Mus musculus: one gene and its partner. The protein of the gene in region 2 interacts with the protein of the main gene of each other region in a pairwise test. Links are inferred from orthologs where the notes say so. Each region holds a gene or a part of one and is shown on either strand. Other genes may lie near its edges.

The links.
Region 1: the proteins of Cep57l1 (region 2) and Rad51d interact in binary tests that used the Homo sapiens proteins (3 or more experiments, as listed by UniProt). The two-hybrid records come from large-scale screens. The link is inferred for Mus musculus from reciprocal best matches to the Homo sapiens genes CEP57L1 and RAD51D.

Annotation. Positions count from the first base shown.
Region 1 is NC_000077.6:82,880,499-82,884,146, reverse strand, and holds part of Rad51d (DNA repair protein RAD51 homolog 4), read left to right. Parts: intron 1-182; coding exon 183-264; intron 265-519; coding exon 520-654; intron 655-1,164; coding exon 1,165-1,260; intron 1,261-2,285; coding exon 2,286-2,376; intron 2,377-2,475; coding exon 2,476-2,546; intron 2,547-3,648. UniProt on the Homo sapiens protein: Involved in the homologous recombination repair (HRR) pathway of double-stranded DNA breaks arising during DNA replication or induced by DNA-damaging agents. Bind to single-stranded DNA (ssDNA) and has DNA-dependent ATPase activity.
Region 2 is NC_000076.6:41,806,975-41,811,248, reverse strand, and holds the start of Cep57l1 (centrosomal protein CEP57L1), read left to right. Parts: upstream 1-1,380; 5' UTR 1,381-1,461; intron 1,462-1,585; 5' UTR 1,586-1,601; coding exon 1,602-1,676; intron 1,677-4,274. Other genes in the region: Sesn1 (sestrin-1), read right to left, coding at 1-227. UniProt on the Homo sapiens protein: Centrosomal protein which may be required for microtubule attachment to centrosomes.

The DNA.
Region 1 (3,648 bases), on a different chromosome or scaffold from region 2:
GTATATGGGTTTTTTTGGAGCCAGGGTCTCATTATGTCCCTGTTAACCTCACCTCCCTGATGGTGGGATCAAAGGCATATGTCACTGTGCCTGCTTTACTCCCCAAATTTATCTGCAGATTTAATGCAGTTTCTTTTCTCTTCTCTTTGCCCATCCCCCATTCTCTCCTCTTCTACCATCAGCCTGGACAAACTACTTGATGCTGGCCTCTATACTGGGGAGGTGACTGAAATTGTGGGTGGCCCAGGTAGCGGCAAAACCCAGGTACCCATGGGTCCAACAGTGGGGGAAGGTTGGGGGAGGTGGGTGCACTGTCCTGAATTCCTGGGGGGGGGAGGGGTACTTGCAGGTGTCCTTGTGAGTTTCGAGGTCAGACAGACCAGATGTGTGCTGAGAATGGGTCGGCCTTGGCAAGTGTATGTTGTTGGAATTGGGCAGGATGTGTTAGGGAGCTGCCTGGTGGCTCTCCCTCTTCTCCAAAGGCTTAGGTTTACCCAGCATCTCATCTTGTCTCTGAAGGTGTGTCTCTGTGTGGCTGCAAATGTGGCCCATAGCCTGCAGCAGAATGTACTGTATGTGGATTCCAATGGAGGAATGACGGCGTCCCGCCTCCTCCAGCTACTACAGGCTAGAACCCAAGATGAGGAGAAACAGGTAGGAGGCAGGGTGGCTGGGGTCCTAGAAAATCCTGATGCTAGGAGACCTCATGACCCTGTACGCTGTAAGGGTTTACACCGTCTGTGGGAACCATCATTGTCCCTTTGAACCTGGAGAATCTTCTGCATTCCTAAAGCTGCTTATGTTAATGTCACCATCCCAGCTTGGCTGCCTCCCACACTGACTCTCCAGGAACTTTAAGGCCTTGCTTACCGTAAATCAGAGCAAGCAAGCACCTAGCATCTGTGTTTCTAGCCCATTTCTTGCGTGTGGGCAGGCATCACTAGTCAATCATATCGGTCCTTCCTGCTGAATGCTGAATGTCGTACAGCTCAGCACCCAGGTAGTCACCACTGTGAGATCCAGCCCATTAGGCAAAATCCATTTGCCATTCTGGATGCCAGCACTGTGTCTAAGTGCCTCTTTGTCCTTTCAGCTCTATGATTACTCTTTATGGCTTGCCTGGATCCCCTCTCCAAGTCCCTGCTTCTCTTTCTCGCCCCTCAGGCAAGTGCTCTCCAGAGGATACAGGTGGTGCGTTCATTTGACATCTTCCGGATGCTAGATATGCTACAGGACCTTCGCGGCACCATAGCCCAGCAGGTGAGCTCGCTCATCTGCCTGCTTCTGCTTTCCCCAGCTGGCCAGGGGTTGCCTGTATGCGGGCAGGTGTCTGACCACGGACTGTATTCGGAATGTATGTGTAACATCCCCAGCTAGGTTTGCACGAGCACACCCCCTAACCCCCAGGTGGAATTCTGAGGTGCTTAATTCCTGCGCTTCCTTGTTGGCAGGCTCACCAGCCCTGGACAACAGTGGGCTCCCTGAGTCCAGGGTTATACTGTCTTCACTTCTGTGCTCCTCACTGAAATCAATTAGAAAAACATTTGTGCCAGGCATGGTGGTGTCGAATGCCTCTAATCCCAGCACCTAGGAGGTGAAGGCAGGTGGCTCTGTGAGTTCAAGACCAGTCTGGTCTACAGAGTTCCAGGACAGCCAAGGACTACATAGAGAAACCCTGTCTCAAAACCAACCAAACAAACCCCCACACACAAACATTTTGTGTGTGTTGGGGGTTGCGCGGGGGGGGGGGGGGGGGGGGGTTGGTGTCTTACTATGTAGCTCTGGCTGGTTAGGAACTTACAAAATCCCCCTGCCCTGTCTCCTGAGTGCTGAGATTAAAGGTATTTGCTTCACCACATCTGGCTAGGAGACTCTTGAAGCAATCTGATTGTCCTCTGTGAGACTGGAGGTTGGCACTAAGTCCAGTGTCCGATTCTCCTGCTCTTCCTCTCAGAACTGGCAAATGGCTGCTATAGCCGCAAACATTTTGTACATTATCCACTTAGGTTCCATAGTTAAGCAAGTAAGTGATAAATTTCTCAGAATAGCCCTGGCTGTCCTGGAACTTCAAAGACATCTGCCCAGCTCTGCCTCCCAAGTGCTGGGATTAAAGGCATGTACCACTACCACCCAGCCTAAACTTGAGAAGGGGGGGTGGGGAGGGAGGAAAGAGCCCAAGACCTACATCTGCTGAGCCATCCCACTGGCCTCCACCTTCTAATAGAGGAGCTTGCCCAGGGCGGGCCCTAGAAGTCATTGGTTTGTGCTTGTCCCCATTCCAACAGGAAGCAACTTCTTCAGGCGCCGTGAAGGTTGTGATTGTGGACTCGGTCACTGCAGTGGTCGCCCCACTTCTGGGAGGTCAGCAGAGGGAAGGTGAGGAAAGGAAGGAGAGCCTGGGGACAGGGTGGGGACTTCACCTGCCATCCCTGTCCTTTGGCCCTCTGCTGCCCCTCCTCTCTGCTCCTCCCCCAGGCCTGGCCTTGATGATGCAGCTGGCCCGAGAGCTCAAGATCCTGGCCCGGGACCTGGGTGTGGCAGTGGTGGTAATTTCTAGCTCTCTGTTTCTCTTAAATGTTAGTTTGGAACTTAATAGCCCTTAAGAGGACAAAACCTAGAACCTAGCTTCTACAGGTCAGAAAAGTGTTACTAGCTTGCCTTTTGTTCTGTATGTGTGTGTGTGTGTGTGTGTGTGTGTGTATATATATATATATATATATATATATATATATATATATATATATATATATATATGTATATGTATATATATATGTGTGTGTGTGTATATATATATATATATATATATGTATGTATGTGTGTTTATGTATGTATGTATTTGACTTTTTGAAACAGGTTTTTTTTTTTTTTTGTACAGCTCTGTCTGTCTTAGAACTTGCTCTGTAGAACAGGTCGTCCTGGAACTCAGACATCTGCCTGCCTCTGACTCACAAGTGCTGGGATTAAAGGCATGCACCACCACCAGCTTTGAGAAAAAAAGTTTAAAAAGGAAGTTTGGTGACCTCAACCACTTGTAACTCCAGCTCCAGGAGACCCAATGCCCTCTTCTCATCTCCATAGGCACCTGTACTCATGTACATATACCCAAATGCAAACACATGTGTATACATGTAATTAAAACTAATGAAAATCCTTTTGAGACAGGGTTTCTCTGCATAACCCTGACTGTCCTGGAACTCCTTTTTGTAGGCTAGGCTGGGCTTGAACTCACAGAGATCTACCTGTTTCTTCTTCCTGGGTGCTGGAACTAAAGGAGTATAATTATTGAGTCAGGACTACCTATACTTTTAGCGTTTATGTTCTTTTTTTTTTTTTTTTTTCCGCGGGTTTCTCTGTATAGCTCTGGCTGTCCTGGAACTCACTTTGTAGACCAGGCTGGTCTCGAACTCAGAAATCCTCCTGGCTCTGCCTCCCGAGTGTAGTGCTGGGATTAAAGGCATGCGCCACCACACCCGGCTTTTTTTTTTTTTTTTTTTTTGGGGGGGGGGTCGAGACAGGGTTTTTCTTTTTTTTTTTTTTAAGATTTATTTATTTATTATATGTAAGTACACTGTAGCTGTCTTCAGACACTTCAGAAGAGGGAGTCAGATCTTGTTACGGATGGTTGTGAGCCACCATGTGGTTGCTGGG
Region 2 (4,274 bases):
CATCTCTTAGAGAGCATAAGCAGATGAGCAAGAAGTTTATTCATCCCATCCAAAGAAACCGCGTTTGAAAGTCCGTCTGAAGGTCGGGAAAGTGTCTCTTTCGCTGAACGAAGGTATTCGGTTTTTCTCAAAACGATCTGCCTAATGTTTTCCAGTGCTGTCTCTCTAGTAGTCGTGTCTCTGCTGCACAGTCCCTCCCATCTCGCTTCATTCTCTCCTTCAGCCATGACAATCAAGAGCTTTTTCTTTTTCAGCGTTTAGTCAGTTACCTTTCAGCATTCCCCCAAAGCAGCCCGTCGTTTGTTTGTTTTTTAAACAAAAAACAAAAACAACGAGAAACGCTAAGAATAAAGTCAGAGAAATCCAGCCGTCGTGAAAGCAGGCGTCTGGATGGCACTGGGAATCACACGTGCTTTTTAAAGTTGATGCTTTCAAATCGATCCACAAGGCGGATCACCCAGGCACCCTCTCCTACACGAGGGCAGTCTTCTGACAGAGATTGAAAAGAACAAACTTGGAAAGTTGCAATCTCACAGAGCTGGTTAGCTGGACACAGAGTCCCGGGGAAGTGTTCTCTGTGTCGCAGGGTCAGCGGATATCCTCACGTTGTGGAGCTGTCAAATCCGTGCTTGGTCCCAAAAGGCTGGTAAACAGTAGAAGGTTCTCCAGCCATTCGATTTTTTGTCTGTGCAGCGGCTGGTTCTCGACCGTTCCCACCCCGCCCTCCTCCGACACCAGTCTCCGCCCCCCTCGGCTCCTCCTAGCGCCGCGGCAGGGCAGCGGGCGGGTGCTGGCGGGGTAGGCGGTAGACCCTGGCCCTTAGCTGCTGGGGCCCGAGGCTCCGGTGCTCCGGGGGAGCAGTGTCCGCCAATCACAGTGTCAGCGGCGACTAAGGGCGGCGTCCCCAACCCTGCCGGTTCTTGTCCCCCGGGGTACGCCGATGCTCCTCTTACTCCTCTGTCCTCGCCCACCTCCGCCAAGCCAGAGGGCACCCCGCAATCCAGCAGTCATCGAGCCCAGGGCTGCACGGCTGAAGCAAAGGGCCCCAGGCACAGAGCCCGCCCCTTCGCCCAGCCCCGTCGGTGGGGATCGGCCCAGAGGGCGGGAGCAGGGAGGGGAGACGGGGTCCTCACCCCCAGCCCCTCCCCTGTCCCCGCCCGGGACCGCCGGGAGCCGCCCCTGCCCCATGCCTGCCTCTCCGCCCAGGCACACGCGACCCGCAAAGACAGCCATTGGAAGCAGCCCCGCCCTCGGGCAGAGTACCTCCGGACCCCGAGTCCAGCGCGCCACTGACTAAGACCGGCTGCTGCGCATGCGCGACGCCGGCCAGGGCGCATGCGCTTTCCGCGGTGTTGTCCTTTCTCGACGTTTGGAGGCGCTGGTTTGAAGAAGGGGAAAGAAAAGTAAGGAGTACAGATGCCCGGAGATGTTTATCGAACAAGAAAAGCCGAACAAATAAAGGTGCTCTATAGTATTCCAAGTAGAAATGGGATAGAATTATGAGTGACAGCCAAGCAGGCAGGGCTTTGCGTTGGCTTTTGGGAAATGTAGTTGTAATGCTAACTACGCGCTCTGTTTGCGACAGAAACTACAATTCCCAGATGCCACCGCGACACTTGTCTTTGCCCGCGAACCAACGGTTCTGGAGGCCGTGGTTAACTGGGAGCGTCCATCTGGTAAGCGTGGTAGGCTTGGTTGTGACCCGTTCAGTGAAAAAAAATTTTTTTTTTCCCCTCGGAAACTCTGGTGCCGACGCCATCTGGGATTGCTTCCTTTCCGTCGTGGCTTGCCGGGAGAGAAATAGTGCAGGTGCTCAACACCTTTGGTTGGGTGACTGAGGCAAGGATTTGGGGATCATTGTTTGGAAGGCCAAGGAGCAGCCTTAAGACAGGCAAACTGGAAAAAAAAAAAAAAGAAAAGAAACAAAAAAGCAAAACAAAAAACCGACGCCGCTGCTTCTGCTGTCCTCTTGCACATAGGCCCGTGCTGAATGGATTAGGAATCCCTAAGCGTTGCCATTGCACCTTTGCCCTTACAGGGATCTGTTTTGTGCTGTCTTTGCTCAGTCAGATAGCATCCGAAGGGGATCTTTGAAAGCAAGTCTCTTGTGTCTGAGACTGAAAAGAACTTCAAATGTCCTTAGGTTTGGAAGGTTCTGTATGAAAAGAAGCCTATAAAAACCTCCTAAATGTGTTATCTTTGAACGATATGGTCATTTCTCTAAAGGTGTTTTTGGAAGGTTTTTAATAGACTGGTAATCGGATTCGATTTTAATCCTTTGTTTTACAAAGTAAACATAGTCATAAAATATTAATCTGGAACTAAAGAGATGGTGCAGTAGTTAAGAATTGTTCTTATACAGTACTTAAGTTCGATTCTCAGCCCCAACTTGGCAGCTCACAGCCATTCATAACTTTAGTTCCAGAGGATCTGATGACTTCTAACCTCAGTAGACACCAGGCATAAACCTGGGGCACAGGCATACATGCAAACAATACACTCATTGAAAAATCCAAAACCATAAAAATTAATGAGGCTTTTAACATGAGAAAAGTGTAACAATAACTTTTATTCTCCTGCTGTAATTGCTGTCTGGAGGCTTACTGCCTCCATCAGCTAATCTAGGCCCAATCCTGCAAGCTTCTAGCTTCTGTAAAGGCCTATAGTGTTTCCAGCTTTTGAGACTTCCTGCTGAATAAGCTCACTCTTTCTAGCTCTTTCTGAATTCTTGCTCTCTGGTTCAACTCAGCTGTTTTGGCCCAAACTCCTCTGACTGATTCAAACTGGCGTCTCTTGCTTCTGACTGAATTGCTCTGCTTGGCTTCAAACTAACTTTAGCAATGTGTTCTACTCTTCTGGCTCCTCCTTATTCTCTGGCTCAGCCTGTCATGTCTAGCTTGTTCTCTCTTCACCCTGTCTCTGTAAAACTCTCCCGGTAACACTGTCTCTTTTCCTCTCTCCCTCTGTCTGCTCCCTCCTATGTTGCCTCTCTCTCCTCTCTCATGAGAGTTGGGTAGATCCTAGTCTACTGAATCTTTTTCTGATTCATCACTTTGTTTCCCTCTCTGTTAGACTTCACTTTCAAACAAAGCTGCTTCCTTCTACAAACTTTGCCTTCATTGTTTGGGATTAAAGGTGTGTACTAAGGGTGTATCTGTGTTCTAACCAGAGTAGCTATGTTGCCGAATTAAAATCCCTCTACAGAAGAGTGAGAAAGATACCCCTCATCTTATTAGAACACTTATGTGGCCAGGCGGTGGTGGCACACGCCTTTAGTCCCAGCACTTGAGAGGCAGAGGCAGGCAGATTTCTGAGTTCGAGGCCAGTCTGGTCTACAAAGTGAGTTCCACGACAGCCAGGCCAGGGCTACACAGAGAAACCCTGTCTCGGAAACAAAACAAAACAAAACCAACCAAACAAACACTTATGTGTAAAATACAGTTGTAATACTATTTGATATTGTTGGCTAGAGGAACATTTAGCCCAGTCTTAGAAAGTCAGGGAAGTCTTCATCCCAAGGAAAATGAAGGCCAAATGAATAGCATAAGGCTTCAGTCACCAAGTGCCTTCTGTTCAGAAGGATGTCACTGAGCTTGTATTTTAAGATAGTAAATAAGTAATGTAGAGTATATAGCAAAGGAAACAATGACAGCCAGTTAGGAAGGAATGAAAGGTGCTTGGCTGTGGGAAAAAAATCTTCCTTTTCAGTGGGAGGAGGACCATTGCTGGATGGATGTGCAGGTTGCCTGCCACCTCAGGACAGCTGTTAGAAGATGAGCTTGCAGGGTGGAGTTGCCCTATTCAAAGACCTCCAATATTGAGAGGGTCTTTTAGCCTCAAAGCTGAGGGTGGGGGTTGGGTACACAGGGCTTTGCTTTTGGGAGTGGGTGACACAGACCATGGGCAGGAAGAGTCTGCACTGGGAGGGGGAGGGGTGCAGAGTTTTCTCTGCCTTGTTCTGGGTGGGCTTAATTCTCCAGAGTGTCACAGTTGACCAGCAGCCCTGGTTTTTATTTGGGGGTATGGAGTGTTTTGTTTTGTTTTGTTTTGGGTTTTATTGTAGGCTCCTCCAGTTACCTTTCTTCAAGTTAATTTATATACTTTGCATTCTTTGATGCAACAGCAGTTACTATTTGTAGCAGAACTAAAGAAAGGAAGAATTATGGAAATCAAGGGCTCTTGTGAGTTCTAAAGGTCATCCGATAACAATTTAATCATCCAGGTGGGATTAAGGATTCAAGAGGGACACAAGGTATAGGCAGAGGAGACATGGA